Linked DNA regions of Caenorhabditis elegans. The protein of the gene in region 1 purifies or fractionates together with the protein of each later gene. This does not show direct contact. Each region holds a gene or a part of one and is shown on either strand. Other genes may lie near its edges. The genes, in order: nrde-3 and nrde-2.

Evidence for each region.
Region 2: the proteins of nrde-3 (region 1) and nrde-2 purify together in Caenorhabditis elegans (affinity purification with western blotting, with the first as the bait; one study listed by BioGRID). This does not show direct contact.

The regions. Positions count from the first base shown.
Region 1 is NC_003284.9:367,193-383,274, forward strand, and holds nrde-3 (Nuclear RNAi defective-3 protein), read left to right. Parts: upstream 1-5,042; 5' UTR 5,043-5,061; coding exon 5,062-5,320; intron 5,321-5,366; coding exon 5,367-5,544; intron 5,545-5,593; coding exon 5,594-5,873; intron 5,874-6,221; coding exon 6,222-6,832; intron 6,833-6,884; coding exon 6,885-7,095; intron 7,096-7,303; coding exon 7,304-7,632; intron 7,633-7,679; coding exon 7,680-7,873; intron 7,874-8,197; coding exon 8,198-8,603; intron 8,604-8,649; coding exon 8,650-9,001; intron 9,002-9,057; coding exon 9,058-9,248; intron 9,249-9,296; coding exon 9,297-9,459; 3' UTR 9,460-9,708; downstream 9,709-16,082. Other genes in the region: R04A9.3 (NPL domain-containing protein), read right to left, coding at 10,198-10,253, 10,299-10,457, 11,093-11,203, 11,248-11,317, 12,068-12,182, 12,226-12,383, 12,891-12,995, 13,203-13,289 and 1 more; ife-2 (Eukaryotic translation initiation factor 4E-2), read right to left, coding at 14,335-14,542, 14,877-15,106, 15,186-15,357, 15,435-15,511. UniProt on the Caenorhabditis elegans protein: Transports small interfering RNAs (siRNAs) from the cytoplasm to the nucleus. Required for RNA interference (RNAi) in nuclei. Required for exogenous RNAi-induced H3K27 methylation.
Region 2 is NC_003280.10:10,236,688-10,253,157, reverse strand, and holds nrde-2 (Nuclear exosome regulator NRDE2), read left to right. Parts: upstream 1-5,519; 5' UTR 5,520-5,547; coding exon 5,548-5,590; intron 5,591-5,647; coding exon 5,648-5,709; intron 5,710-5,758; coding exon 5,759-5,872; intron 5,873-5,917; coding exon 5,918-5,994; intron 5,995-6,039; coding exon 6,040-6,452; intron 6,453-6,626; coding exon 6,627-6,748; intron 6,749-6,797; coding exon 6,798-6,962; intron 6,963-7,007; coding exon 7,008-7,613; intron 7,614-7,695; coding exon 7,696-8,202; intron 8,203-8,274; coding exon 8,275-9,181; intron 9,182-9,241; coding exon 9,242-9,819; intron 9,820-9,868; coding exon 9,869-9,972; intron 9,973-10,234; coding exon 10,235-10,349; 3' UTR 10,350-10,562; downstream 10,563-16,470. Other genes in the region: F54B3.1 (Protein SZT2), read right to left, coding at 471-948, 995-1,165, 1,350-1,641, 1,806-1,864; atad-3 (ATPase family AAA domain-containing protein 3), read right to left, coding at 2,287-2,686, 2,734-3,746, 3,793-4,167; mrps-14 (Small ribosomal subunit protein uS14m), read left to right, coding at 10,668-10,744, 11,236-11,409, 11,528-11,624, 12,493-12,744; F-box/WD repeat-containing protein mec-15, read left to right, coding at 13,470-13,631, 13,680-14,357, 14,894-15,019, 15,065-15,151, 15,476-15,555, 15,998-16,085. UniProt on the Caenorhabditis elegans protein: Protein of the nuclear speckles that regulates RNA exosomal degradation. Involved in short interfering RNAs-mediated silencing in nuclei.

The DNA.
Region 1 (16,082 bases):
AAGGACCCATCGGATGGTAGCTCCTGTATGCTATTTTCATGCGACATTTAAGTTTAATATTGCTCCTCAAAAAATGGGGATAAAAACCTCAGTTCTCATACTGTTTTGACAAATAATCTAACTTGAAAATATTATAGAACAACTACAAAATGTGTTACGGGCAAACTTTGTCTCTGATAGTGAGACTAGCAGACTAAAAGAACAGATTGTATCTGTTTTAGTTTTTTTCTACTTACCAAAACTTCGCAGTGCTCCTCCAGAAGTGCGTTTTGCTCACGAAGCTTGTTCTAAACTTGAGATTTGTTTCTACAAAATGGATATTCTAAACTCACGAGTTCTTCTGGGGTTGCCACACGATTCCTCGGAGGAGAGGCTTGGTTTGTCGGGCTTAATTTGGAAAGCGTCTGCATTTTCAGCAAGTATCTGAATAAGTGATAAAAAATCCTGAATACAAAAGTTTTGGAAATGGCTCACCTCATTCGCCACCTCATTATACCTCATTTTTTCTTAGTTTTTGCGTGGGTAATAAATTGTGCATTATGTTTCTTAGAAATATTCTGTGTCACGATATGAAAATGTAGCAGTTTGCTCGAGAGGTTATTAGGTGTGCCTAATTGCTTACAATTTAAGATGTGATTTTGCCAAAATGGTGGAACGGGCTCAACGGTCACCGGACTGAACAAGTAATCTTTCAAGAAAGGGTCGAAAACAAGTAAATTTCGGCTTGGCGGAAAATAGTCAAAAAAAATGTAATATCAACATTTTAACAGTCACAGTGGGTGGCAATTTTTTTTTGTTTTTGTCGACGAATTCGGCAAATCGGCAAATCGACGGTTTGTCGATTTGCCGGAAATAATCCATTCCGACAAATTGCCAATTTGCCGATTGCTGGATATCAGATTTTCCGGAAATGTTTGGTAGAATTCGGAAACACTCAAAACTGTGCCTTTTTGAAATTTTTCCTCGTTTTCTTCAGATATTCTCATCGAATTTGTTTACGTTTAAAAATATATGCAGGAACATTCATAGGTTGCGTACAACTTTGCCGATTGAAATTTAAATTCTGAAATTTTCAAAAAAAGTGCAAAACCGCAATTTGCAGAAAATGTTTGGTAATTGCTGTTTTTTCGGTAAATTCGGCAAATCGGCAATTTGTTGGTTTTTTAATGGCAAATCGGTTTGCCAATCTGCCATAAAAGTTTCATAAAGTGCCAGAAATTTTGCAGGCTTTTTTTTTTGTTTTTTTGTGGTGTAATCGAATTCAAGACTATGCTCAAAAACGTTTAATTTTAAACATGATAGTTTGTGGTTTTGAATTGAAAATTTGAAACATAGTTAGTTTTTTAATAAAAGTATAATGCCGTGAAAATAAACACATAACGAGATGAAAATCCATTACAAACCTATTAGCTTTACCGCTACAATTGCAAGAGTTGCAGAAAAAATTATTGTCATCAGAGATAGAACTAATAGTAAGGCCAATTACTATCCCCACGTGCTCTTGAGCAATCGGAGCTGTGTGGATTTTTTCACTTGTGCCACACCCGATGGATAGCTAAAAACTTTTTTTATTAAATATGTCTTATATTCTCACTTAGCCGTGAATTTTTTTTAAACCTATTCCAGCATGACTAAATGCATTATTAGTAGGTTTTTAGAAACTTACGATCAAACATTTTTTCCAAATCGCGAGATGTTGAGTGCCATTTTTGACATTTTTTAATGTAAATTTCAAAATCATGTGTTACTTTAATTTAAGTTTCGAGCAAGACCCATTCCTTCAATACACCAATTTATGAAACAAAAATACATTTTCACAACTATTGACATGTTCATCTGCATAAGAGCATACTAACTTGAAGGTGGAGAAGCGCCAGTGGGGAAAGTGGTAAAAACTACTCCTATGGTGCCGAAATGACCAAATATCATAGTAAAATTTTATTTTTATTTGAAAATTTTTTTATATACTGTCAAAAAGTGACAATTACTCAGTTATTGCCATTCATAATTTTGGAAGTCGGCCAAAAAAATTGTTTTTCCTACGGTTTTTATATTTTAATTTTGTTTTAATTAGTTGTATTAAAACATTGTAGGGGTAGGAACATGCGACATTGCTTTATATTTTCTCAAAAGCTCATGTTTTTGAAAATTTTGGAAATTTGTAAAAACTTTGACCAAAAATTATGAAAAATCTAAAACATTTTTGAGTGCTTTATTATCATATTTGATTGTTTTGGATCATTATAAATTTATTTAAACAAAATCCCCACTGGCCTTACTCCACCTTTAAGCTTTAAAGAAAATAATTTTTCTGCGCACTTTTTTACCTTTGAAGTCCGTGGGATTGTTCCTTAATTTGATTATTGCAAACTTTTGATAAACTTAAAATAATTAAATTATGGGAAAAGTCTGACATTTTTGGAAACTTTCTTCTTTTTTTAAAATCTAATTATTATATTATTTGACCCGAAAATGCCAAATTTTTTTTTCTTTAGAACATGCCTTTATACCACGATGACCAAGTATCATAGTAAAAAAAATCAAAAAATTTTTCTATATTTTATATGATTTTTGAAAATTGGAAAAATCGCAATTTTGCCTTTTTCCTGTTTAAGTTATCGCCAAGAGAATTCGTTCGATGCAGGAAGCCTGTACGTTCTAACTTTTCAATTTTTTTTCTCTCATTATCTACCAATTTTCATGTTTTCAGTGTTTTTTGCACGAAATTTAAAGATAAAGTCGAGATGAATGCAAATTTAAAATTGTTATTTTTTTTCTTTCTTACGCTTGTGAAGTAGCCATTGTATTTAATTCTATTCTATGCAAAATCAATTTTTTTTCCATACATTGCTCTTCGAGGTAAAATTTACCCCGTTTACAATCCATGCATCTGCTACCATCTGCTTTGTGTCTTTTCCCCCTCTAAGAAAACCTTATTCCAGCCTCATTTGTCCTTTTTTTCTCTGTCAGTCTCTCACTTGTTTTTATTTTCAACGCTCAACCAAAATCATTGACTGAGTTATGCCCATTTTAGTTTAGCATTTTAGCAAAATGTATGTTTAGTTAGTTTTTAAATTGTAATAATCTGCGTCTTTTGTGTTATCAATTTTCCGGAAAATGTTATTTCTGAAAAAAATGTAAAAATGTTGGGGTTGCTTGAAGTTTTCAAACTGTTGAATCGCTTCAGTAATCGCCATTGAAAAAAACAAGTAGAATAATCCAGTGGGAAAAAAGTTGAAACAATTGAACCACTTTTTCAAAAATCTAAAGAACCGCCGCTGAAATAAAATATTTATTTTTAGTCCGAGTGAGTACATAATGTATTGTTTCTATGTAGTAGAACTGAAATCTTTTCATTTTTTCCTGAAAAATGTGTCCTCAAAAAAACTTTTAAAATGTTAAAATATCAAAATTCTATTTTATATTTTTCCCTTATATTTATATTTTAAAAAAAGTAAAACTTTGCCGTATTTCAAAAATTCTATTAAATTTTACACTTTCAATTTCTTCCAATAGATTGATTGACCGGAAAACTGAAATTCTTAAACTCTACGCAACCTGCGTCCGCTGTAGATCAGAGTAACAATCGAGCAATAAAATAAAAACTTTTTCTGTTTGCGCTGGCTTTTTGTAATCTTTTTGCACTTACTTCTAACATAATTGCAATCATTTTTACAATTTTATTGACGGACTCGCTAAGATACTGAAATGAAATTGTAGATTTTTCAATAATTATGCATTTGGATCAGGGGTGGGCAGCAATTTCTGTTTGGCAATTTTTTTATCCACATGTTTATTTTTTAGTTTTTATCCACAAACCGGCAATTTGCCGGTTTGCCGATTTACAGGGAATTTTCATTTTTGGCAAATTGCCAATTTGCCGTCGATCAAGTTTGCCGGAATTGTTTAGAGTAATTTTTTCAGAAGACGGAACTACTTTAAACTTAGCCTTGTTGAAATTTTATTCCCGTTTTCTCTTGATATTTTTTATAGGATTTGCTTATTTTTCAGAATAGATTTAGGAACATTCACAGGATACAATTTTGCCGATTGAAATTAAAATATTGAAATTTCAAAAAAAAAAAGTGCAAAACCACAAAAACAATTTACCGAAACTGTTCGGCAAATTTGGCAAATCGCCCATTTGCCGGTTTATCGATTTTCCGGAAATTTTCAATTCCGGCTATGTGCCAAATCGCCGGAAGTTTCAATTCCGGCAATTTTCCGATTTGTCGGAAAAAACAACGATTGCATTGAGAAACCACTCCCGCAAAAAATAATAAAAAATCTTGAGTACTAAGTTTGTTGCAGATTGTGGAGTGTGCAGGAGTTGCTCCAAACTAGACAAAACTCCCGAAAGGCTAAGATTGTAGCAAAAATCCCTAATTTCTATGAAAGAATATGTAGGAGTTTCTCTTTACGCAAGAGTTTCACTTCATTTAGGACTTTTTATTTTTGCCCGAGCATGAGATCATGAGAATTCCTACCGTTCCTCGTAGTGAAGGGACCTGCGTTTCTATTCGAAACATGCTCCACGGCACTTCGATATTTCGCGCCAAACCGGTAAGCATTATGACGATCTCATGGTTTCTTATTATTCATGTCTTCGTTAACGATCAGCGATGAAGGAGGAGTCTCCCCGATAACCGATCGATACGTTTATTCCGCGTTGCACCACACACACTCGTCTGTTACACAGTTCTTCATCTGGTGCGCGCTCTTTTTGATCGATCATACCTGCGTACGCATTCACCCTACACCCTCTTCCAATACCATTGCACACTAACCTCTTCTGTGCGCGCGCTCTGTTATCTTGCGCAAGAGACACATCTCACCCTCTCTCTTTCAAATGCCTTTGAATTTAGTTGGTGTTGCCTTTCATTCCTTTGCTGTGCGACTGTGCTGACGCTGTTTTTCTATTGATCTCTATTCTAAAATATAATTAACTAAATTATAAATACACAAACTATTCTTCTATTTTTTCTCGCTCTCTTTTTTCAGTTTCTTACATAAAATTTTCAAGTTCATAAAATTTCTTTCAGGTAATTTGCACAACTAATCATGGATCTCCTAGACAAAGTAATGGGTGAGATGGGCTCTAAGCCAGGCTCAACTGCCAAAAAACCAGCCACATCTGCGTCATCCACACCACGTACAAATGTTTGGGGCACTGCAAAAAAGCCATCCAGCCAACAGCAGCCACCGAAGCCACTTTTCACTACTCCGGGCTCACAGCAAGGATCTCTTGGAGGTCGGATTCCAAAAAGAGAGCATACCGATCGCACAGGTCCCGATCCAAAACGAAAGCCACTGGGAGGATGTGGGTTTTTTAGCAAGCGAAATTTGCACATATAATTGATTTTTAGTGTCGGTGCCGGATTCATTCAATAATTTTGGTACGTTTCGGGTACAAATGAATGCTTGGAATTTAGATATTTCTAAAATGGACGAGAGAATTAGCAGAATAATGTTTCGTGCCACATTGGTTCACACGGATGGACGTCGCTTTGAACTTTCTCTTGGCGTTTCGGCATTCTCCGGAGAGTAAGTGTATTTCTTTTTCATATTATATACAATTAAATGAATATTTTAGCGTCAACCGTCAACAAAGACGTCAAGCTCAATGCCTGCTCTTCCGGGCATGGTTCAAACGAAATCCTGAGCTGTTCAAAGGTATGACTGATCCGGCAATCGCTGCATACGACGCTGCGGAAACTATCTATGTGGGATGTAGCTTCTTTGACGTCGAGTTGACCGAGCACGTATGCCATCTGACAGAAGCTGACTTTTCGCCACAAGAATGGAAAATCGTTTCTCTCATCTCACGTCGGAGTGGGTCGACATTTGAAATTCGCATCAAGACAAATCCACCAGTGAGTTTCTTGAGCCGTCTATATCTTATCGACGCTGAAAATTTGAAACAGGAATTTTGACTTCAAAAGTTCACAAAAAGTTACCAATGAAGACGACTGTAAAAACATAAGTCCTGAAAGCACGGTATGACAACGTTTTCAGATTCTTAACTCATCTTTTAGCGTCTTTTCCTTTTGTATTTTGGCTGTCCCCGAGAACTTAAAGTGAAATGTTTGGGCGCTCTGATTTGAGCAAATTTCATGTTGCAGTTTTTATTTTTATTTAAACGGCTTCTTTTCAAACTACTACACAAACCTATATAAAAAACATGTCATTCTCCTTTTTATTTTTTCAAAAAAAAATTACAGATCTACACGCGTGGACCAAACGCTTTGACATTGGAGAACCGTTCTGAGCTAACACGTATCATTGAAGCTATAACAGACCAATGTCTTCACAATGAGAAGTTTTTGCTCTATTCGTCGGGAACTTTCCCCACGAAGGGGGGCGATATTGCCAGTCCCGACGAGGTTACTCTGATTAAGTCAGGATTCGTGAAGACTACAAAAATTGTGGATCGGGACGGTGTACCAGATGCAATTATGACCGTTGACACAACAAAATCGCCATTCTACAAAGATACGTCTCTCCTCAAATTTTTCACTGCCAAAATGGATCAACTTACAAATAGTGGTGGAGGACCCAGAGGCCACAATGGTGGCAGAGAGCGTCGCGATGGCGGCGGGAACAGTAGAAAATACGATGATAGACGCTCACCGCGTGATGGTGAAATTGATTATGACGAGAGAACTGTCTCACATTATCAAAGACAGTTTCAAGACGAACGCATTTCGGATGGTATGCTGAACACTCTCAAGCAGTCTCTCAAAGGATTGGATTGTCAGCCGATTCATCTTAAAGACTCGAAAGCCAATCGTTCAATCATGATAGACGAAATTCACACCGGAACAGCAGATAGGTCAGTTTCTCCAAAAACACTTTTATGCGTATATAATACTAACAAATTTCAGTGTCACATTTGAACAAAAACTTCCCGACGGAGAGATGAAGCTCACTTCCATCACAGAGTATTATTTACAACGGTACAACTATCGTCTCAAATTCCCACATCTTCCGTTGGTGACTTCAAAACGGGCGAAATGTTACGATTTCTATCCTATGGAACTCATGTCCATTCTTCCTGGCCAGAGAATCAAACAGTCACATATGACTGTTGATATTGTGCGTTACTTTTTAGTTTAAAAATAATATCGTTCGAGGAAATCTTGAATCTGGGCCAACTGTCGGCTTTTTCTTTGCATCATCATGTCTTACCTTGCAGATTGGTATAATGACCACGGTCGTTGTCAAGCCAAAAACATTAGTCAATTATTTCATTTTGTTATTTCAATTTATTCATTTTCATTTTCAATCAATATATTTATTTCAGCAATCTTATATGACTGGAAAAATGAGCAGCCTGCCTGATCAGCACATCAAACAGTCGAAATTGGTTTTGACGGAATATTTAAAACTTGGTGACCAGCCTGCAAATCGCCAAATGGATGCTTTCCGTGTGTCGCTCAAAAGCATCCAGCCAATTGTCACGAATGCCCATTGGCTCTCCCCACCAGACATGAAGTTCGCAAACAATCAGCTGTACAGTCTAAATCCAACCCGTGGTGTGCGTTTCCAGACTAATGGCAAGTTTGTCATGCCAGCCAGAGTAAAGTCGGTGACGATTATCAACTACGACAAGGAATTTAATAGAAACGTCGAGTAAGAATTTTCTTTTCGAAGAAATACTTCAATGATTATTTTTACAGTATGTTTGCCGAAGGGCTTGCCAAGCATTGCTCCGAACAAGGAATGAAGTTTGATAGCCGCCCGAACAGCTGGAAAAAAGTTAATCTCGGCTCATCAGACCGACGAGGTACAAAAGTGGAGATAGAAGAAGCCATTCGAAACGGCGTTACGATTGTGTTTGGAATTATTGCCGAAAAACGACCAGATATGCATGGTGAGTTTTTTTTTGTTGGATGAATTTATCCTACCAAATTGGGAGAGTGAATGAGGATGGCCACTAGGGCTGGTATCATTTGGGTCGCAATGCGATCTAGGTCGCCAGATCGCAAGTAGCATTGCGACCTAACACCTTATGTTGCAGGTCTACTTAGGTAGAGCACCACTTTACTAGCCACAAGCATTAAAGGTTAGTTGTGTGCGAGGACGCAAGGCATTAATTGTTACATTCGAAACTAAATACAAGAGTGTGCATGGAAAATTCTGAAATTTCTTATGTCAAAAACCGCATCACATTCTGATTCTGAAATTGCTTTTTCAGACATTCTCAAATACTTTGAGGAGAAGCTTGGACAGCAAACCATTCAAATTTCTTCTGAAACCGCGGACAAATTCATGCGTGACCATGGTGGAAAACAAACCATTGACAATGTCATCAGAAAATTGAACCCCAAGTGTGGAGGAACTAACTTCCTAATTGACGTGCCCGAGTCGGTTGGCCATCGAGTCGTTTGCAACAATTCTGCTGAAATGAGAGCAAAACTGTACGCAAAGACGCAATTTATCGGATTCGAGATGTCGCATACAGGCGCTAGGACCAGATTCGACATTCAGAAAGTTATGTTTGACGGAGATCCAACTGTCGTCGGAGTTGCGTACTCTCTCAAACACAGTGCTCAGCTTGGAGGGTTTTCATATTTCCAGGAAAGTCGTTTGCACAAGCTCACGTAAGTTTGAATTTTTCCGTGTTCTTAATCTATTTGATAGTTTTAGAAATCTTCAAGAGAAGATGCAAATTTGCTTGAATGCTTACGAGCAATCGAGCTCGTATCTTCCTGAGACAGTTGTTGTCTATCGTGTCGGAAGTGGTGAAGGAGATTATCCGCAAATTGTCAACGAGGTTAACGAGATGAAGCTGGCTGCAAGAAAGAAGAAGCATGGTTACAATCCCAAGTTTCTCGTTATTTGCACACAACGCAACTCTCACATCCGAGTATTCCCTGAACACATTAATGAACGTGGAAAGTCCATGGAGCAAAATGTAAAATCCGGCACTTGCGTCGATGTGCCAGGAGCCTCTCACGGATACGAGGAGTTCATTCTTTGTTGCCAAACACCTCTGATTGTGAGTTGATTTTAGCAAGGGATGTTGAGCACAAATGTTTTATGATCAATATTCAGGGAACAGTAAAACCAACAAAGTATACTATCATTGTCAACGATTGTCGTTGGAGCAAGAATGAGATCATGAATGTCACCTACCACTTGGCGTTTGCCCACCAGGTCTCTTATGCACCACCAGCTATCCCCAACGTGAGCTATGCTGCTCAAAATCTTGCTAAACGTGGTCACAACAACTACAAAACACACACGTGAGTTTGACCTGCTTCCAAGACAGTTTTAATTAATCGGTATCACAGAAAGCTTGTGGACATGAACGACTACTCTTATCGAATCAAGGAAAAACATGAGGAAATCATTTCGTCAGAGGAAGTTGACGATATTCTGATGCGCGATTTCATTGAGACAGTTTCCAACGATCTAAATGCAATGACCATCAACGGACGCAACTTTTGGGCATAATTGCCGTTTTTCCATTATCATTTTGCAATCTGTACTCTTTTGCCACCTCATCCTGTTTTTTTTTTCAAATCTCTATCAACTGCTCACTTTGCCTTACAATTCTTGATATCAAACTCTCATCCCCTTATACTTTAAGAAGTGTCAATGTTGTTTTTTTACTATTTATTCATTATGTATTCCTTATTTCTAACACTATGAACTTCAATATTAATTTTTTTAACCAACCAATAAATTCATGGTTTACCAGGGATTTCACTTGATGACTTGAGGGCGAGACATATAACGATCGGGGAGCACACTTTCAATGTTCAAATTTGAAAAAAAAATGGCAGAGGAGCACCTTGCACTGAAAAATATTGACCTGAAAATGTTTCAGTGCATTTTTACAGCACTTTAGAAAGTCTGATTTTACATTTGTTTAGGATTAGGCAAACTATCTGGGAGCTTCTTGGAAAATTTTATTTAAAAAAAATCTTTTATTCTAATATATAATTTCACTTTAGTTAACAAATGATTATTTGATTAATTAATTGTTGTTTATTCGGATCTAGATAAGATAGAACATTTAAAAAATGAGCATCGGGGTGAATCGAATAACACACAAAGTAAGAAAGAAGCATCAGAGTACATCCTATGTAAGAAAAGTAAAATATAATTCCCTTTGGTAAAATAAACCTTTGGATTTATACTATTTTATTTTAGTTCTCGAGATATTTTCTTAATACATCACTGCGGGTTTCACTGGTTTTTTCCTCGTTTTTTCGGTGGTGCTGATGTGCACGGCTGGGAGCATTCTGGAAAAAAACAAATTATTTAAAAGAACACAATTAACTAACAACCTCTTTCTGAACTGGTATCTTCGTTATTTTGCCGTTTTAGTTCATTCTCTACTAGCAAAAGTTCTTCACGTTCCGCATTATTTGAATCAATTTTTTCATCGTCCGAATCGTCGTCCGAATTTTCGGAATCATCAATGGATGTTAGTGTAGTTGGAGGCTCTGCAATGTTTAGAAAATTATTTTGAAATTTTGTGAAATATAATTTTCTGCTCCTTAAATTATCAATGTCGTGTGTTTGATTAGAAACATAAATTAATAGGTTTTATTTTACTGTTATTGGATCATTTTCTTTATTTTGGACAACTTTGGTTAAAAAATGATATAATAAAAATCAGTTGAAAATCGATGTATTTGCTGTTGAAAAACATGTTATATATTTCAGCTTTTTTAAAAATTTACTCATAGTAAACCTTTACCTTTTTTTTTATTATGCAATTTAATTTTTGGTTTTTGTTTCCTTATATTGTTTTCTTTAGAATAATTATAACAGTTTCTGACATTTAGTTGGATTATGCTGAAGAAGGATTAAAGGATTGAAGGATTAAAAGACGACCCGTTCTTCAAGTGCTATGCACTGCGGATCTGGGATTCAGTTACACTGCCTGGTGGTGACCGCAAAGGTGACCGCTAAATATTTAAATATTTGAATTTTTTTGAGATTTTTAACTGATTTTTGGGGTTATTTAACTAGAGAGCCCCGTCAACTTATGGTGGCCAATTTGCAGGGGCTCCCTAGTAAGATAAGTCGAAAACCCGAAGAACCAGCAGGCCTGATAAAACCTCTAAAAACTAACGATATTTAAAAGTCAAAAGTTCCCTTCCGTTTGATAGTTGCCGTGTTGTTTCTTTGGGTAATAATCCAAAAGTTTTATAATGTTTTGTATAGTTTCGCTCATCAAGACAAACTGAAAAAAGTATAAAATCATGGTAACAAATTAAGAAAAATTACCAAATAAATTCATACATTCCGATTTTGTCCATTTCAAAGAGACAAGCTGGTTCATCCAATCGTTATCTATCTCAAAAAGAAAGCATTGGTTTAGTTTTAGGCAAAATCATGAAGACCGAGAGAACCTGCACAAAACATGCCCGCTTTGTAAATCTGAAATTAGAACCAAAAAGAGAGCCATATTTTTCAGCGCACAATTAACATTGCAAGGTTTTTTTTTTCAAAAGTGAGACTCAATTTTAACAGTAGAAAATTGATGTTGGAAAGTTGCTTTTTTTGTTATAACTTGTATTGAACTGTCAATCAAACATATCAATACAATTAGTTGCTTTTTATTCTAGTTTGTATTTGCTCACGTGGTGTCAGGTTTTCCCATTTTTGTTTGATCTACGTAGATCTACGTTAAGAACGTGCTGACGCCACATATTTTTTGGGAAAAGCCCATTTCCCCCATTTTTTGTAGATCTAACTCTAATGGGACAGCCTGATACCACTTGTTTGCTTATTTTTGATTTTTTTTTTCTCTAATTTGATTCTTGTCATTACATACTAATAATAGACTTATAGAAACCAACTAATTCCAGACGTTTTCAGACCACAACATCTAGAAAACTTGTTTTGTTCGGTTTGTTTGTTTTGCACTATTATATGTCTCTAAGTTATCATCTCCAAAATTTCAAAATCTACACATTTGTATTTTTCCTAAATTTGATGTTCATTTTAATATTATCTCGGAGGAAAGTTAACATATAAATAACTGTATTTTATACGTATTTCTTCTGTTACCGTACGTTGTTCGTGCATAGAAAACCCAACTCACAAAGTGAAAAAAGTAAGTCGTTTCTTCTGTATATGAAGTCATGGTTATTTCCTTGACGTTGTTTTCACAAACAAAACGGTTGGTATTCGAAGGATCAATAACAAACATTAGTGAACTAAAATTATACGATACTTCAACAAATAAAAACTTGGCCTTACTCCGAAAAACACTGGAAGGTTTTCTGTTTATTTTTAAGCAAACTTTCCCACTTTTTCACATTCACCGGAACTTTCTCAATGATTTTTTGAATGCCTTGAGCAGACAGACGGAGTATAAGAGATGTAGGTAGACTACAGCAAAGTTGAGGGCTTGAGTACTGCAAAAATTGTTGTTATACAACAAAAAAAAATGATCCGGCACACTTCGGCACCTCGAATTTTAAAAGTTTTCCGAAGAATTGTGTAAGTACATATCAGGGCTGTGCGGCAATCGAGATTTTCGGCAACCGGCAATTGCCGAAGTTGCGAACCCAAAAAATTTTGGCAACCGGTAACTTTTGGTCGCCGAAACTTCAACAACTTTTCGGCAACCGGCAAACTTGGGTTGCCGGTTGCCGCACAGCCCTGGTACACATCTTATATTGCAGTCAAACACGGTCAACCCCGCTTTGTTGCTACTCATAATTTTATAATAGAAATCAACAGTCAATCCAACTTTTTAAAAAAATTCTGAAAATTTTCAAATTTTCCATGAGAATGTGGTTTGTGCAAAAAGTTATTTCATTCAAACATTTCCGACCGTTTCAGAAAAAAAAATCACAATAAATTTTGACTGAAAATTTATGACGCTTTTTAAAATGACAGATGCCACAGTTTTTACTCACCAGTACTTGAGACACATCAACGGCAGAGAGATTAATTGAAACACTGTTCTGTTTGTCGAGACTTGGTACCGGGAATTCAAATGCTACTTCACGGGTGTTTCCAGTCTGAATTTATCTGTATCCTAAATCATTTTCATTTTCAGAGTTTTTAGGTAACTGCAAAATTGTGGAAAAATTCTCAAATTGAATACTTTGCAAAAATTGATTATCATATACCGTATTTCCTCTATTAATATTGCAGCCGACTACTTAACTTTGAAACGTTAGGTACTTTATAAATTTCTTTTTCAGTTGGACAACAAAAAAACAAACATTTCTAACGGAAATTCGAAGAGATCTTATTTCCTTTTTCTTGTAGTTAAATTTGAGATCACCCCACCATGCTTGGCAAATTGAATACTGCAAAAAAAATTTGGACAAATTTTCGACGAAAAATCCAACCGTAAACTCCATTTCTTCCAAGCGTTTCATTCGGTTCTCATCCATTTCCCCATTTAATTACAATTCAGGACAGATGAATAAGCTGTAAAATTTGTAATTAAACAAGCTTAACGCAGAATTTTTGCTTAAAAAGTTTTCCACCATTTGTATGTTTAAACGTTGTCTTTTTTAAATTCAATAAAAGTTTTTAAAGAAATGCTGTTTGGTTTCAACACTGGATAATGCTAAGAAAATTGAAAAATTCTGTGGTTCATTATTTAAGAAATGTTTGTTTTCCATTAGACAATTTTAAAATCTTGTCTAATTAATTTTCAAGCTAATTAAAACCAAATTAAAATTAAATGTTTTCCATTGAACACTTAGAACTTTGAATATTTTCCGAGGGGTAGGTTTTCACGGCGGCAGACAATTTCCGAGTTTGGCCACTGATTATAAGAGTGGCCTAACTCGGAAATTGTCAGCCGCCGTTCACGGTATCCTACCCTTTGGAAAATTTCGAAAATCCTACACACCGGACGCAATGAATGTATCCGGTCCGGACGCTATACTTCAAAATTTGTCTTGAAAACCCAATAGACTTTTTGTGCTACGTATCCATGTGAGGGTGAGAAAAATCGCCATATCTTACGCGCAAAAAGCACCTGTGTCTCTTTTCTCGAACGCTGTCTAACGTCTAGGCAAAACGCCTATCGCGAGAGAGCGTGTGGAGCGTGTGGAGAAGAGAGACGCGGGCGTCCGCAGTTCTCATCAAATCATGGACACGTTATAAGTCAGTTTGTAGTTTTTGAAAAAAAAAATCCAGAAAACTAAGTGATGATAATACACTCTTTTTTTATTCAGTTGAAGGAAAACACAGATATAAAACATTCGTTCATTTCCGCAAGCCAACCAAATAAAAACATTTCAACAAGTGAAGAACATGTTAAAATACGACGTGAATACGCATTAGGATTTAAAAAAAAACAAGATATATGTTAATAAAAATAACGCATCAAAAAGAAATTTAAGTGGCTGGTGTGGCAGGAGTCTCGGTTGAGACTGGAACTGGGGCTTTCTCCTCGCGTGGCTCCACCGCGTAAATGGCGTGCTTCGCTTTGACTCCTGAGCTCGTCTTCTTCTGGCAACTCTCATGATCCTCATAACGGAGAACGTCGTAGAGTGGTCTCTGATGGATCATGCTTGCATTGTTGAGCACTTGCTTCAAGACGCCTCTGCAAAATTGAAAGTTTCACTTTAGTTACTCTACAGTTGCCTGTCAATTTTACATGTACCGCTGCTTTAACATAATTTTGGAATTTCGCTGACCATTAAGCAATCAAATTCTGTGGTACATATGAAAGATGCGCTAGACTGGTTTCATAACCAATAACGTTATGTGTTGCAAACGGTTAGCAGTGGAAAATTGTTTTTGAACGGATGAATTGCGTCTTGTAACACCCAGAAGTTGTCTGTGGCTCAATCAAATGTAATGATCAACTAGACTAGTTTCATAACCAATAACGTTATTTCTACAACCTCATTAGTTTTTAGACTATAAAAACCTACCCAATTCTCAGATTTGCCCCGTCATCAGCACTGTTTGTAGTCCAAACTGAGATTTTTGAGCCCTTTCCACGGACGTTGCAGACAATTCCGCACAGACTTTCGATATCGTCGGAAAACTGCTCTCCGATCATCGCCATAAGAATTTCGGTCCAGATAGTGTCCATGATTTCCGGAGTGCGTCCTTTCTCGATAGTGATAAGCCATCTTCCTCCATTCTGATTTTGTGGCACCTGAAAACACATTGGAATGTGTTTATGAAAATATTTATACCACGTGTGCATCAGCGCAAAAATCAAAAAAAAAATTCACCTCCCACATTGGCTCAATTCCATCTCTGAAAACATTATAATCTGATGGTGGATTGAGCCCACTTGGCGGCTTAATAGAGTCGTGAAGTGCCCAGAACTCTCCGACGCTGCTAAAGGTTTTCACGTTCTTGAGACGCTCCTCCCACGATTTGTTGCGCTCGTCGTTCAGATACCTACAAATTCGTTTATTCCTTATGTTCAAAAATTTATTCAAAATCTTGATGCCTAGGGAAAAGTGTCAATAGCTTACCACCAGGTCCAGTTGCGTTTCAGTTTGTAAACTGGGTGGGAGATGGTTCCAGGAGCTGCGACTGGTTCTTCGGACATTACTTGCTGAAAAGAAAACAATATGTGTGGCAAAATATCAGGCAGTAGTTTAATGTCGAAAAATTGAAATAGTCAAGTGCTAAATTAGGTAAAAACAAATGTGATATTGAAACAGAGACACGCAAAAACCGATATTTCCCAAAATAAGTCTGCAAACACCGTGACGGAACAATGCAGACGCGCGAGCGGTTTCTCTGTGTGATGCGGCGAGTGGCTGCAGCACCGGTGACAAATAAAAAAGAGGTACGCGCAGAGAAAACTATAAACAGAGAAGAAATAGTGTTGGAGTGTGGTGAATCAATATATATATCAATATATATTTCTGAGTTGCAAAACGGATAGAAATGAGAAGCCGGTGAAGTGAAACATTTCAATTTTTGAATTTTTAGAGGATTGAGAGATAATTACTTAAATGTCAAAAAGTTCCAAATTAATCATTTTGCTGTAAATACTGAACCTGGAGATTTTTTAACCGTCAAAATTGTTCGACTTTTTGCCCGGCAATGGATGCAAACAGGTATACACCGTTCTGAAACATATTAAATATTTGCATTCTTTGTTTTACAGTCGG
Region 2 (16,470 bases), on another chromosome or scaffold:
ACTTTTTTTTTCTTTGGAATATCGGAAAATCGAAACAACTATATTTTTACCCATTTTTGTGATTTGATTTTTTTCTCGATTTTCAAAAATTGGAAAATCTTCAAAAGAAAAGTCCAAATTTTTGTAAAATCGAAATTTTTAAAAAGTTTTTCCGCTGTTCGAAAAATCGCAATTTTTCTTCGGAATATCGGTAATTCAAAAAAAAAAAAAGAATCATAAAATATGATTTTTTAATTCTAATTTTGTTCATAATTTGAGAAAAAACCAAAATTTGAAGCTAATTTTTGAAAAATCGAAAATATTTTTTTAAAAACCTTTCTTTTGTGAAATTGAATTTTTTTTTCGTTTTTCCACTTATCTGTAAAATCTGTTTTTTTTTCAGAATATCAGAAAATCGAAAAAACTTTTTTTTTTCAATTTCTGGGAAATCTAATTTTTTTTGTTCCCAGCCCTGTGACTTGATAACTCACTAGATTGAGTATTTTCGGGGAGCATCTGAATCTGTAAAAGACCCATTCGAAGCATAAATATCAGCGACCAATCCGGTGCAACATAACTCTTATCACTTGCAAATGACAATTGTTTCTGATCTTCATGACGTTCAGTTGCAGACCATATTCCACGTTGTATTGACATAAGATTCCCACCATCCATTGCTCTGTCTGCATCTCCATCATTTTTGTGTGAAGTCGATGCTGCGGAAGATTCAGATAAGTGAATATTTTCCGCTGATGGTACTTTTCGACTGCAATCTTCACTCTGCGAGTCACTCTCACAAAGTGAATCGAATTTATTGTGCTTGTGACGACGTTTCAGTTTTCCCCACATTTCGAGAATCGGACGGGAGAAGGTGAACAGTCGTTTGTAGATGTCGACGAACTTTATCTCAACCGATTCAATTACCATATCAACATTTGATTCAGTGACGAAGACTCCTTGGCATAACGTCTGAAATAATTTATGAATTCGGATGCAAGCGGAAAAAAGAACGTACAAAAGTCTCCTCAAACTTCATAAAAGGTGTGAACAAGCAGATGGACGTGTGAACTTGAGGACGAAAAATTCGATTCGTTCCGGGTATGACAAATGATTTTACTGATGATCGTAGAGCATTTCGAAGGCTTGGGATGATTCGATCAACGAGGCAACAGTTGGATTCATCGTCCTGAAAAATTACGTGATTTCGCACAATTGCTCTGGGCTGGGACTTGTTAGGTTTTTCATTTGTTTTTTTTTTTGGTATTTTGACGAAACATTGATTTTTTGGTTTTTGGGACCAAAAAACCAAGGCTCATTTTGTAGAATTTTCAGATGAACAATGCAGCGCAGCCGTGCCAAAACCAACTCACCGCCATAACAACGGATGGACTGAGATCAAGAACAAAAACAATTCGATAATATCTGGATATATATGTGCATTTCGTTCTGACAGTCACAATGAATTGCTCGTCTCCAACGACTTCTGTACCATCTCCTCCGGCTGGTACAATCCCGATGACTGTCATCTCTTGCCTGTACTCATCTTTTGGATCTTTTGATGGTTTATATGATGAGCATTGTGGAACTTCTTCGATTGATACGGCCTTTCCGAGATGATCAATGTACCAATGTGCACGAAGATTGCGGGATGCACGGAAGATTCTGAAATTATTGTTTTTCAGGATTTCTGATATTGAAAATTGTGGTTTCTAGCTTTTTATTGTTGCTTTTCTGGAAATATTAGGCTAAAAGCTCATAAACGTTTAATTTCAATTGATTTCTTATTTTCTGAAAAAACCATATATTGCCAGCTTTTTCCTTCTTACCTGTGCATAAACAGAAAGACCTCTCCGGCCTCCCGCAAGTTTTTTGTTTCAGTATCCATTTGATCGTTTTAATCGAACATTTGGGCTGAAAATTATTTTTTTTGCTTTTTCTCTTCAGAAGCTTTCAAAATATGAAAAATTGAAGTGCAACAAAAGCGATTATTAGTTAGTATTACATTAAAATGAAGAGTTTCTTTATTAACAAAAAAAAAACAATAATCTTTCACTCTACTTAAATTACTACACAAAAACTAAATAAAAATGACTGACCTAGAAAATAAGGGGAAAACGAAAAAAAACAATAGAAAAACAAGGGCCTAATTGAATTATCTAAAAAAATTATATTATCAGCAAAATTTCTGATTAAGAATGAAATTACGAAATTACCGGAAGTTTGAAGATTTCAGAAAAGAAAAAACAACAAAAAAACGTAAATAGAAAACAATAGAGTATCATGAACAAGGAAATGAATATTTTGAAATTAAACAGCAGTTTCTCTCTTCAACGTAGTTCCGAACTTGACTTCTTGGTTACGAGCTTTCAATTGCTCCTTCTCAAGCCATTCCATCTTATGTTCATGTTGAACCATTGCGTCAGCAGTATTACGATCAACGATAGCCTCGGTGAGCACTCCGGTTTCAGATGCATATGCAGAAGCTTGCCATCCGATGACAAGTTTACTCAATTCTCTTCCACTCATTCCAGATGTCTTTTTGGCAACTTCATTACACTTAGCAACCCAATCAAAGTTATCGAGTTTCAGTCGTTGAGAACGAGATCCACTAGTTGCTGGAGTGACGATGTGCTCGTTGAAGTATTGCAGAAGAATTCGTTCACGTTCTTCCATTCCTGGCAGTGTGAATTCGACAAGCTGATCGAAACTGAAAAGAATAATAAATTCTGTTTTTTATTTAAAAAAAAGGATTACCGATCGTTAACTGCCCAATCGAACTGCTCTGGCTGATTAGAAGCCACGACAAGCATGAACTTTCTCGACTGCTCTCCAGTTCTGAAGAGGAAAGCGTTGAGAGCTGCACGTGTGTCTTCAGACATTCCATTCTTTGATCTCTTTTGCAAAAAAGCGTCAGCTTCGTCAATAAAAACAATCAACCCTTTGCGACTTTTTGAAGCCCAGTCGAATACTTTATGAATTGCAGATACTCCATCACGTCCAAGTGGAGCAATATCTCCTCCAGTGAGAACTGCGTAATCGAGTCCGGAATGTTGAGCCAAACTCTTTGCGAAAAGTGTCTTTCCGGTTCCTGGTGGTCCGTAGAACATTACATTACGGAAAAGTCCATTATTTCTCTTTGTGTTTGAGGTGGTAATGGCAATATCACGAAGACGACGTTCCAAAGCAGGTGGTAATACAACTCCATTCAGTGGATCCTTCTTCTGACGAGTCATCATTTGAACACTTTTAATTGGGTGTTTGAGTACTTCAAGTGGAGTGATTCTGGATGTTTCTCTTACAAGACTTGGTTTTCCGAGACGAGATTCGATGTATCTTGCGGTGACTCCAGTTCCTCGTTTAGCGGTATACCAGCCGACAGCCAAAGCAGTCAATCCTCCTACTGCAGCAGCGATTTTCGTTTTATCATTCAAAAATTGATTGAGTCCAGAACCGATAAGTTCTCCACTGGTTTTAATTTTTTCAATGACAGTTTTTCGGTTCTCTTCTTCGTGAAGCTTCATTTGCTCTAAGTTTACATCTCTGTTATCTCGAGCAGCCTTTGCCCTGGCTCTGGTCTCTGCGTCAATTTTCTCGAGCTCGTATTTGTGTTTTAATGCTAACTCATGCTCAATAGTTTGCTTGCGAAGTTGTTCCTGCTTCTTGACAGACTCTTCTTGTTTTCGGAGGCTTTCTTCCTGCATTCTAGCTTTCATGGCAAGCTCCTCTTCGGCTCTCTTTCTGGCCAATTGATCTTGATATTCAGCACGCTGAAATTATTTAGTTGTTATGTATTCAGATGTTTGGAAAAATTACCGAATGCGCATGTTTAGTCTCTTCTCCCAAAGTCTTCCTCCGTTCTTCTTCAGCAACACGAATGTGCTCTGATTTCATATTGGCCAATTGAGCTTCGATCTTCTTGGTCTCGTTCTCGACCTCTTTTTGGCGTGTAACTTCTTGCATTCTCGACAATTCAAGAGCTTCTTTGGCATTTGGAAATTTCTCTAGATCACGAGCAGCCTTGGCGGCACGCTCCAAAGCTGTTGAGTCGAAGGAATATGCCATTTTGCTGTTTCCCTCTTGCCGTTGGCCTTGACCTGGTTGTTGTGGACCGCCAGGAGCAGCACCTGCTTGAAAATCATCCGGAATCTGCGGAGTAGCGTTTTTTTGAACACCAAATAACCAAGACATCTGAAAGAATAGATTGAAGCTTGGGATGGTGCAAAAATATTCTAAGGAATATTGATTAAAGGAAATGATTTATATATGTACTTATGCCAAAGTATGAAACAATAATTTCTTTAAAGGAATGAAATTCGGAGAGACTTTGTGTAATCCTTGAAGAAAACGTAGTATTAAAACAGAGTTGCAACCTTTTCAGTAAAATTAGATGATGCAAAACAGATTTTCCGGCTCATTTTCCCTGAATTTAAAGGACCTGCCGTCAAAAAAGACCTGCCGTCGTTATAATTCACGAATTTCTATTTTTTGAAACACATTCTGCATTGAAAAATAAACTTTAAAAAATTAAATTAAGATTGTTGGAAAAAAACAGAAATCGCTAAGGCAGATTATGCTCCAATGACATTTTCTGACGCATTTCTCGATATCGTAAAGTGCGCCAGCGTTCAAAGGCCACATCTGAGGCCCCACGAAAAGGGGAGCAGAACGAAAAGGGGATCTGCAAAAAGGGGATCTGCGAAAAGGGGAGATACGGAAAGGGGAGATACGAAAAGGGGAGCAACGAAAAGGGGATCTGGCACTGTGCCAAACGCTATTTTTCTCGAAGAAAACGATACAACGATTGTCGCGAATACGCAGAATACTGATGTTCCGCCGATCACGACTGAGAAATGATATTAATACCCAGGAAATGCGTCAAGGAAATATTAAAGAATTATTATGATTATTACGAAGTCTTTCCGTATTCTAAATGCTCACGACAATCCACCGAAGTCATCAACAACGACAAAGCCGGGAAACTCCTGTTTGAAAGCCGCGCCAAAAGACACACACGTCACGAGTGTTACAGTACTACCACACATGCACATCAAACCCCAACACGTCGACACCGCGCAAGGAAATCGTCACTTCTTCGTTTTACTCCCGGACCGGCAGGTCGCATGTTAAATATGAGCTTTCTCATTTTTATCATTCAACGGATTTATCAGTAATAAATTATATAATTCTACCACTTTTGAACCTATACCGATCCGAAACATGGTGCATCGGCTCCGATGTTACGCGTCGCGTGTTGTTAAGCGTATCTTCTAGAAGAAAACTTCAAAAATCAACGTGCGTTGCGTGAGAAAAATTGCGTTTTGTGCGTTTGGCACAGTGCCAGCTCCCCTTTTCGTATCTCCCCTTTTCGTATCTCCCCTTTTTGCAGATCCCCTTTTCGTTCTGCTCCCCTTTTCGTGGGGCCTCCCACACCTTTGTTTTTCTTTTCGAACAGTCACATTTTTCCTTTTTTTTTTTGTTTAAAACTTTCTTTCTTTCATTAAAAAAACAATTATGCAAATTGTGAATTAAGCTGTTTTCAGGGTAATATCATACCAAACTTAATGAACAATGTTTCGAGCGTATGGAAATAATGGATTGAAAAATCCAGAAAGTAAGTTTTTTCTACGAATTCATCTCATTTTTATAAATGCAAAATTCATTTTTCCAGGAATTTCTGGTGAGAATCCAGATCTTTATACGCAAACAAGGGCTGCTGTTCAACAACGAGCGGTGAGAAATATTTAGTTTTTTTTTTCATCTTTCATGCGATTTATTTCAGACTACCACTCTAAAAAGAAACGAAAAACAGAAACTCGCCGTGCAGAATGACTCTGTTTTTCAGCAAGTTGGAATTGGAGAATCTGATAGTGATGACGATAATGGTGGTGTTCGGGTGAGGCCAGTGACATTTAAACTTTAAACTTATTTTTGCTTTCAGATTAGAATGAGCCCCCACAGGTACATTGATCCAGATGATGTTTTCACTCTCCCAGAGGTGAAAAAGCAAAATGCCTTGTGCGTAAATAATTTTTCTAGTTTGAAAATAATATAAAATTTCAGGAGAGACGCGAAAATTGCGGCCCGAGCAGCTCAGGCAACTGCTTACAATACATTTCCGTCCGTTAAAAGCTTAAATGGTTGCCAAGATCCACCAGAAACAAGTCAACAATCCACAAGTCGTAAACGTTCAGCAAGCAACAGCAGGAGTCCATCGAGATCTCACAGTCGCCGATACGATCGGGATAATGGCAGGCAACGCAGCAGGAGTCGTGAAAAGAAGAGAAGAAAGAAGGAACGCAGACGAAAAAGATCCAGTAGCCGAAGCTCTAGTTCATCTCGTTCTCGGGATAGGTCATCTCGTGCTCGGGATACGTCATCTCACACTTTAATGAAAATGAACAAACCTGCAAAATATGCATTTCTCACCGATGAAGAATATCGCACGTGCGATGCGTACATTTCATCTGCGTTTAGTAAGTTTTTTCATCGAAAAAAGTGATCATATCACAATAAAGTTAATGCTTATTTACGATTCAAAGTTAAAATATATTTAGAAATTAAATATTCATATTATCGCCAGCCGGCAAATACTGCGCAATTTTCAAATTATTGTTAATTTAAAAAGTTCCAACGAGAAAAAATTACAGTTACTCAAACTAAAAGTGATTGTGAAAACTATACGCAAGGAGTTCCGAAGAAAGAAATTGCCAAGTGTCGATTGAGTGTCAAGTTTATTGTCGGTTTGGAGCATAACAATATTCTGTTCAACGTATGTTTTGGCACTTATTTTTTAATCTTTTCAAAAAACCAGTTTTCAGAATATTTATGGAGCGGAATATGCCAGAGACAAGGAAAACCGCCCATTCTGGGAGCAGCTGGATAGATACTTGAAGGATGTTCCGAAAGAGACATTCTTTCGATATGTGCCTCCAGTCGGCGGTTACTGGAAGATTCGTGACAGAGTTGATTTATTAAATCTTGATGTGAGTTATTTTGAATATATCGGAAACCGAAAACCAAGATTTCAGCACATTGACGATGATGTTCTAGCAAACGATTCGGATAATCGAAAAGATGCGTTCACATTTGAGCTCGAACAGGCGAAGAAAACATTTTCCGAAAATGTTCATAACATTGATGCTCTAATCAAAGTAATTTCAATGGAAGAAGAAATGTGTCGTCGGAATGTTGGAAGTTTCTCCAGTTCAAATCCAGCAGCTCTTGCCGAACGTCACCAGGAAATGGTGAAAAAAGCCATTAAAGCCGACGGTAGAAATGCAAAACTTCGATTGATGAAAATTGAATTACTCATCAAAATGGATCCCAACTCTCCTACTATTATTGATGACTTCAAAAATCTTACCATCACATTTCCACATGAACCAATGGTATGGATCAAGTATTTGGACTATATACAATATGATAGCAATGTGTACAATTACAAAAAATTGAAGAATGCATTCGAAGATTGTATCCGACAAGTGACTGGATTGACAAATGGAACACTTCTTTCACATTTGAATGCTGTTAACGATAGACCATTGCTTAGAATGTTCCATTTATGGATTTATATTCGTTATTTGAAGTGGATGATTTCCTGTGCACACACGCCAGTGGTACTGGCAAACATACAGGTGAGATTTTAGGAAATACTAAGAAACCTTTGGTTTTGTGAGTATTAAATCACTTTTTTTTTCAAGATTTTACTTATTTCAGGCCACTTTTGAATACAATTTTGGACTCGCTGATGTTGAAAAGCGGACGAGCACTAATTCAAAAGAACGGGAAGTCAGATTGGAGGAATTCTGGGAATCTGGTCTTCCGCGAATCGGCGACGAAGGTGCTGTTGGTGCAGAGAAGATGCTTAAACAATCGGAAGAATTATCTGATGAAGATATTCAGAAATTGGAAAATGATGATTTTGATATTCTTATTTCACGCACCGAGGAAACAATAGCGACGTGTCTTCAAGCTCAACGGGACGTGCAGATTTCGTGGATCGAAGTTGAACGAGAAATGATGAACATCGATGCTCGCGTGAAACGGACGAAACTGAAAGATTGTGAACTTTATGAAGATCATGTGGACGACTTAGAGACATGTGAACTCTGGGACATCATTCCTTTTGATAGAATTCGATATTATGAAGCACCAGGCGATTGTGCTAATTTCGATTTTGTACAACCTTTTTTGGAGTTGCTCGGCGTCAAATTTTTAAATTCGGTAAGCAAATTTCAACTAATATTATGCTTGAAATTAATTTTGAGGAATTGTAAAAATACTTTTTTTTTCCAGACGAACTGCTTCACAACAACCGAACAAATCATTTCTGATTGGATTTCTAATGATTCTACTGTTAACTTCTACAAAACTCCGACTTATACCGAGAAAAAGTGCTTTGAAGTTGGAAATAATATTCTGAAGTTTATGCTTTACAATCGACTCAAACTGACCGAAAACAATCCTGAATACTTGGATAAGACTATGGTGAAGTACTTGCTGGCAATGCTCGTCACCGAAGCTTCGGAACAGGAGAAGAAATTGAATTTCCACAGTTTTAAACTGAATCTTAAAAACTTGGTTGGAACATTCATCACTAAACATCCAGACATTTTCAAGCGTGCCATGCTGAGTAAGATCACAGGAATTGTCTACATGGAAAAGTTTGTGTCTTGGTGGGAGCGTGCACTGAAAGAACAGGAAAAAGTAGTGGAAGCTGACGAGAGAAGGAAGAATTATAAAGAGATCAAGATGGAGGAAGGCGTCGTAGATGATGTTAAATTCGATGTCATATTGTTAAAGAAAGACAAAGAACGAGTGCAAACAATTCGTGATAAGATTAGGGATATGATTGATATAGCTATCCCCAAATCAACAGAAAAGCTCATTCAGAGCGCTGATTCTTCATTGCCAACGCTTCAATTACATCTTTATGCCAATGTTCTACGTGGAAGACTTTCTATTCTAAATCAAAATGCTTTAGAAGAGACTCGAGATGTTTTCTGTAAAGAGATTCTTGGAATTCACACTTCGGAATTTGAAAGTGATGAAGCTCTCTTATTGGCATTGGATCAAGGATTGAACGAATTGCTGGAGCATTGCAAGGAGAAGGACAATCTTGAATCGGTCGACAGTATACCAGAATTACCAAGAGCTGAGGCACTGTGCGAAGCTTTGAAAGTTGTGGCGGTATTTGTTTTCTGTGAGTTTTATAGTCTTTGAGTCTTTGTAAAAATTAATTGATTATTTTATTAAATTTCAGTGGACAAGATGGCATTCAGCAGGCGTGCAGTCGACTGCCTCATTGCCAACGCGATCACCAAATTCGAGCAATTTGAAGCCAAGAAAAATGATTTCAATCGTGGAACTTATGAAAAATACTGTGATCAGATCGATTTGAAATTCATCACGGACACTCTCATAACCTTCTTTTCGCACAAAAAACACCGTTTCATCTACAATGAAAACTTCAAAAAGTTGATCTTCCAAGCATCGCAAGCGTTCCCATGTGATTCGAAATATGCGAAGATGCTCGGCGAGCTGCATTCCAGCGGTCGTCTGCAAGTGATGAAGCTTCAAGGATTCACCGACAGCAGAAATAGTATTTTGAATGCGAAACGAGATCAGCAATTTGATCCAGAACTTGAAACTCGTCTTCTCATGAACTCGTTGACTATTATGTTCTCTTGGATGAATGCAGCCAACCGGATTGGAGACGCCGGAAATCAAATCCTCTATAAAAATTGGAAACGAGAAGCAGCTAATACACGTGATCCGGCTATCTGGAGACAAGTTATAAGAGTTGCCAGTAAATTGTCACAGAAGATTCTAAAGGACGATGTGAGTTTTCAGGAAAAAAGGTTGTATGTGAAATTTAAATTTCTTACAGGCTTACACTCGTGCAAGAGGTCAATGTACATGGGCTCTCAATTTGCACTTTGATTATATTGAAGCAAAAACTGTCCGCAAGAATGGAGATCTAATGGAGATGATGTAAGTTCAATTATTGAGAGCAAAGTTTCAGTTCAAAAATGTAATTTGTTGTGCCCGATTTTTGAAAATAATCAACTAAGATTGATTTTATTACAATGTTCAAATTATCGAAGTATAATTAATTTAAATCGTATTATTTTTTTTCGATTTCTAGTCTAGTCTATATACAACAATACAATACAAAGCGAATAAATTTTATTAAAACGCTATGCAATTATAATCAGCACACATGCCAATGCATTCTAAATAACACTATTTACAGCTACCTCATTCTCGAACAAAGCATGGGACAAGAGCATAGTTTATTTGTGACCGACGAGGAATACATGAAAACACAGCAGGAAATTGGACTACAGTATTCCGAATCCGGACGTTGATTCTCTCTTTTTTGTGTAACTCGGCCTATAACTTTTTTAAAAATCCATTCCATATAATTATCCACCGGTATTCATTTCATCCCAGGAATCTTTCTTTCTTTTGTTCTTTCTATCCGACAGATTATGTTTATTTTTGTATTATAATTCTTCTGTCTTTTCGCATTTTTTGTTTCGGTAAAAATTTTTTGTTTTCAACAATGAAAATATTCGTTTTAATGTCATATTTCTTTCATCATGAAAGAGGTTACACTTCCTCCAACCAGTTCCTTCCATGCATGAATAATTGTATTAAATATGTATTGCAATGTATGTGCACAGATGTTGAGGGCACTCCGCGGAGCAGCGGACCTACTATCGACGGCTCTTTACAAGAATGAAATGATGATGAGTAGAAGGTGAGTATAGATTTCTCTAATTATTATTTAAACTATGCGAAAATCCTGCTTTTGGCGAAAAATTTTGATGTTTTGCTTTTTTTACACTCGAGAATATTTTAAACTTTCAATTTATAAAATTTGTTTAAGCGAAAATTTTTCGTTGAAAAAAGTGAACCTGCCACAAAATGGAAACGTTTTTAAAAAATTAATTTTTAGAATTTCCCTTTTTTTTCCGAAAACTTACACTTGAAATTAGAAGTAAAATGCAATTATTATTAAAATATTCGAAAATTCTCAACAAAAAAAAACGTTTGAGGCCTGCGAAATTACTCGTATTTTTGACGAAAAGTTCAATTTTTGCTTTTTTATTCGAAAAAAAAACTAAATGGAAAACTTTTTTTTTGGTTTTCAAATTTCAAAATTTGTTATTCGAACTCAATCCTTTTCTCGCGCTGAGAAAACAGGAATTATCGTCTTATGGCTTAATTTAAATGTCCAACAATTTCCAGATATTTATCAACTCCAGCTCCTGAACCTGCAAAACCATCATCTGAAGAGACTACGGAATCCACGGAACCGGCAACATCTGTAGAAGATGCTGGAGAACCTATGAAAGAGAAACGAATCACTCAACCATATTCTAGCGAGGCGCTTACAAAATTGAAACTTGATCAGTATCCATTGTAGGTTTTTGGTTTTTTTTGTATATTTTTGAAATTATTGCCTGCCGCTTTTTTATTCTCAAAGTGAGAAAGAATTGCACATAAACTATACACTTGTATTGAATATACGTTTCTATAGATACGTGGAGAGAGAATGGTGGAAAACCGGAAAACGAATGACATTCTGGGCGAGTTGGCGTCAGTTGAGAGATGTCAAACGACGTGAGCAGATTCAGGTTGGTTTCTATTTTTTATACGAATATTGTCATATGTGCTAAAAATATTTTTGGTTTTTATTTCAAACCAAAAAGGAAAAAAATTGAAATTTGTAAAAGAACCAAAACAAAAAATACCAAAAAATACGAATATTGTCATATGTGCCAAAAAATTTGTTTTAAAGGATTAAAGGATTAAAGGACGATCCGTTCTTCAAGTGCTATGCACTGCGGATCTGGGATTCAGGTACACTGCCTGGTGGTGATCCCTCTGGGCTGTAATTTAAGCCACGTCCTAGCCGGGGACTGTGGCCGATAATCCAGTCGTGGATTGCTCCACTTCCCAATAGAGGCTGGGTGAACCTAGGGGGTGAGGCCGGACTTGAACTCGTGACCTCCAGACTGCTAGCGGCCACCACTACCGACAGAGCTAAAAAACATCAAAAACCATAAGAATATTTACAAAATATAAATTGTTTAAAATACAAAAAAAAAATCGCATTTTTCTTCGTGCCAGAATACCAAAAAACACCAGGGCTGTCACCAAAAAAAATTTTCCATAAACAAAAAAAAGTTTTTCGCTTCTTTTCACATGTCTGAAATTTTTTAAATATTTTTTTTATTCGAAAACCACCAAAAAATCGTTATTGAAAATCATTACTTTTTAAAAAAACAAAACCCCACAAAACAGAAAACCCAAAAAAAAAACCATTTTTTGTGACGAAAAAACCAAAAAATTCCCTTTTTTATTAAAAAAACCCCCACAAACCAAAAAAACCAGAAAAAACCCATTTTTGTAACAAAAAACCCCCGACACCCCCATTTTTGACAAAAAAGCCTTAAACAAGCCCAGGCCTGCTGCTTGCCCTTGATTAAAATTTAATTTCAGGAAGTCGGCGCGGATCGTATGCGTCTAAAAGCTATCAAATTCAACACAATTCTCCCGCAAGCGATTCGTGACGAAGCAGCCGAGAAAATGCAAAAAGCTCGAAAATACGATCATCCTCGTCTGATTCTCAATATGTGCCAGTTCACAGGACGACAACGTGGAAAGATAAAGCCATACAGATTGAGTAGACACTTGTTCCGTCGATTTGCAGATAGATCAGCTCTCAGTGGAGTCCAAAGAGCCATGTGGTAGTGTGAGATAGGAGTTGTAGTTTTAGATTTATTTGTTTTCTATTTTTGATTTCTTCTTCGTTTTGAACACTTCTTTTGTTATCGATGCTCTTAATGAATTATTTTTGTTTTATTGTGATATAGATTATGATATCTCTGTATTGGTTATTGATCAATTAAAATACTTTTTTTTCAGAAAAATTATTATTTTCAGATGTTTTTCTGTCCATCAGTGTGCGAGCGTGCTCCACAGCCCCAATACAATGGGTCTCGTTAGTTAATTGGCGGCAAAAGCCTAAAAATTCAAACGTTTTATTTTTCGGCAATCAAGGATGTCTTCGAAAAATGTCTGCTTCAGAGATTCACTGTTTTGCCTCCAATACCTAACGAGACCCAACTATTGGAGGCGGATCCTGCTCATTTCGCTGCTGAGCGCGCTTTCACATTGATCTCAAAAAACGAATTTTTCTGCGGTGTCGGCTTCAAAAAAAATTTCCAGAGAAATCGCTATTTTTTCGTTTTCCCATTGTTCACAAATTACATTAAAATTTCGGTCAATTTGCTTCCTTTTAGTGAAAAAGTATTTTTTTTCTCTTATCAACAGGCAAAGTTTGATTCAAAAAATTTAAAGTAAAAAAAAGATTTCAAGATTTTCCAGAAAATCGAAAATTTTAATTTTTCGATTTTTAATTTTCTCTGAAACACTGCTTCCCATAATATCTATCTCATTATTCTTACAGCATCCTTATGACAAATGCTCAACCAACGGAGCTCATATCCCTTCCTTCGGAGCTCCTTTGCCATCTTTTCACCTATTTACCACAACGACAATTGATCACAGAAATTCCACTGGTATGCAGAAGGTTCAATACGATATTAAACGATGACAAATTTTGGAGTAGAAGAATTGTTCGTATTATTACTATTTTATCGAAAAAAATTATTTTATTTTTTTAGCGCACTGAGCAGAAAGTTCGTCTACCAGATTGTGAACTCAAGCATCCTGAGTATGAACCAAAGAAATCATTTTACGCGATGCATCGACAGAGAGATCGCTGGAGAGCATGGGAGACGCAGACAGTTATCACTGCTCCAGGACATTCAGCTACAGTCGATAGTGTGATGCTTTTCGAGAATAATAATAAGCAATTCTGTCTATCTGGATCCAGAGATCGAACTATTCGTCTTTGGAGCATTGAAAACGCTCGAAATGGTGAAGATACTGAACAAAATCCATGGACAGTGGCAAAAGATGATACAGCTCATTCTGGATGGATTTGGAATATGGCTCAAGAGAGCACATCAACAAATTTCTACACAACATCGTGGGATTCAACTGTAAAAAGTTGGCACATCACAGATAATGGAGCTCTTCAAAATCTTAATTCCGTGAATGTTGGATCTGCGGCCCAGTGTATTTCTTGTTCTGGAAATGAGAATGAAGTTGTGTGCACAACATTTGCGAAACGGGTCGCTGTCATTGATTCCAGAACATTTCAAGTAGTCGCTGATCACAAGCTGCACAAAAGAGCTGTAATTGCTTTGGCTGTTCAAGGGGATAAGATTTTTACGAGTGGAGAAGATAGACTTATGATGATGGTAGATCGACGAAATTTCAGTAAACCTGTGCTTTTTGTGAGTTTTTTTTAAATTGAGATTCAGCAAATTTTTGTTGAAGACAAAAAGATGAGCGCATTTGAAAAAGTACTGTAGTTTGAAAATTGTCAAAATTTCTTGCAAAAAAAATATTTTGCTGGTTTTTCTATAATTTTTCAAAATAAATTGCCAATTTTTGATGAAAAATTTTCTGCATCTTTCTTGCAAATTTTTGAAAGAATTAAGAATCAAGAAATTTTCCATCGATTTTTTGTATTTTTCGTTAAAACATACTCATTAATTCAAAAAAAAACTAAAATTAAAAATTAAAACGCACATTTAAATTTTAACAAATTGTGAGAAAATCTATGAAAATTCCACAGAAAAAAGTTGAAACTACAGTACTCTTTAAAGGCGCACACCTTTTCTAATTTAACAAAATATTATGTGCCGAGACCGGTTACCGTATTTTTGAGTAAAAAATTGCTACATTTAGATGCTGGGTGATTTAAAAAAGCATTTAAAAAGTTTTTTGAATCAAATTTTAAAAAAAATAATATGAAATTGAATTACAGGAATATTCTCCAACAGCATATAAATCATGTCTATCGCTTCAATGTAATCAACTTCTAACATCAACATCCGATGGAAAAGTCAAGTTGTATGATGCAAATAATTTCAACGTTTTGCAGACATATTCGGTAGGGAATATAGAATATTATTCAGTTAATATAAATAATTTCTAGGTCGGTTCCTATACCCGTCAATCATTTTTGGAGCACGGAGCACACTTGATTATGGCGCGAAGTTTGAAGCGTAATTACACATTCAGTGTGAGTAGAAACCATTTTAAGAAATTTCATAGGTCCCCCTATTTTCCTGAGAATTCGTTTTTTTTTTGCAAAATATGCAAAAATTCAGTGTTCCACTCTTTCCGTTTGTCTCTCTTTTTCGAGCACAAAAAATGAAAAAAAAAGCAAAGATGGATGTATATATTCGGAATTCGATTTGTCACAAGGCATTTTTTTGGTTTTTGGTTGCTTTTTTAGCACATTCTTGGACTCGGAAGAAAAAAAACCACATATCTAAAATTTTGAACGAACGAAAAACAGTGAAAATATGCATTAATTAGAATTTCAACCCGATTAAATTTCCAGATCTACAGCCCAGGAACACGTAGTCAGCAGTGGTGTGCTTCACATGAATTGGCCGCGGAGCCAGCCAAATTTGATTATTCGTAAGTTTAGTTGTTAGCACACAAAATTAATTGAAAAAATTTAAAAAAAACTTCTAAAAATGATAATTTGTAAAATTTTCATATTTTTCAGAAAATTTTAAATTTTCCAATTCTTCAAAATTTTGTAGGTTTAAGCTCTTAAAATTGCCAGATATTTTGGAATATTTTTAAAAAATTTGGATTTTCGAATTTTTAGAAAATTGGAAAATTCTTTATTTTTCGGCATTCCAAATTTTCAGAAAATTTTTTGCTTTTGGAATTTCCAACAAAATATAATTTTACGGCTTTCCAAATTTTCTAAAACTTTGAAATTTTTTGAATTCTTCAATTTTTATTTGTATTTTTCGGTTTTTCAAATATGCAAAAAAAACCGGTATTTCTGAAAAATTGAAATTATGCCAGATTTTTTTTTTGAAATTGACTAAAAATTTTATTTTTTCAGCCCATCATCGAGAACTCTGGCAATTGGCAATGGTGATAGCTCAATTCTGTTCTGTCTTCCAGCATCGGCTCCGGATCAAGAAAACTGAATATCTTCTCAATTTCTGAACATTTCCTTTGTGTATATACCAAATATCATTGCCATTTGATATGATCTCTTCTGAATCGATATCATTTAACTTCATATTTTATAGATTTGCATAATTATGAAATGTTTTGGCCCCTTTCCATGCTTCTTCCTGTTTAACCCCGTTTGGTGCACAGTTTAGCGCTCGCCCGCAAGAAAAACAATGGTGGAGCTCACCTGGAGCATCGTGTTATTTGTCTTTTGGCAAATACACAAAACAGTCTTCTCTCTTTCTCGGCTCGTGCTGCGTGGCTCATTTGCGTATATACTCTAAGGAGTTATGCATGGAACGTTTGGAACGTTTGAAGAAGAGAGCTCAATGTCTATGTCCCCCGTGTGCTCTCCGG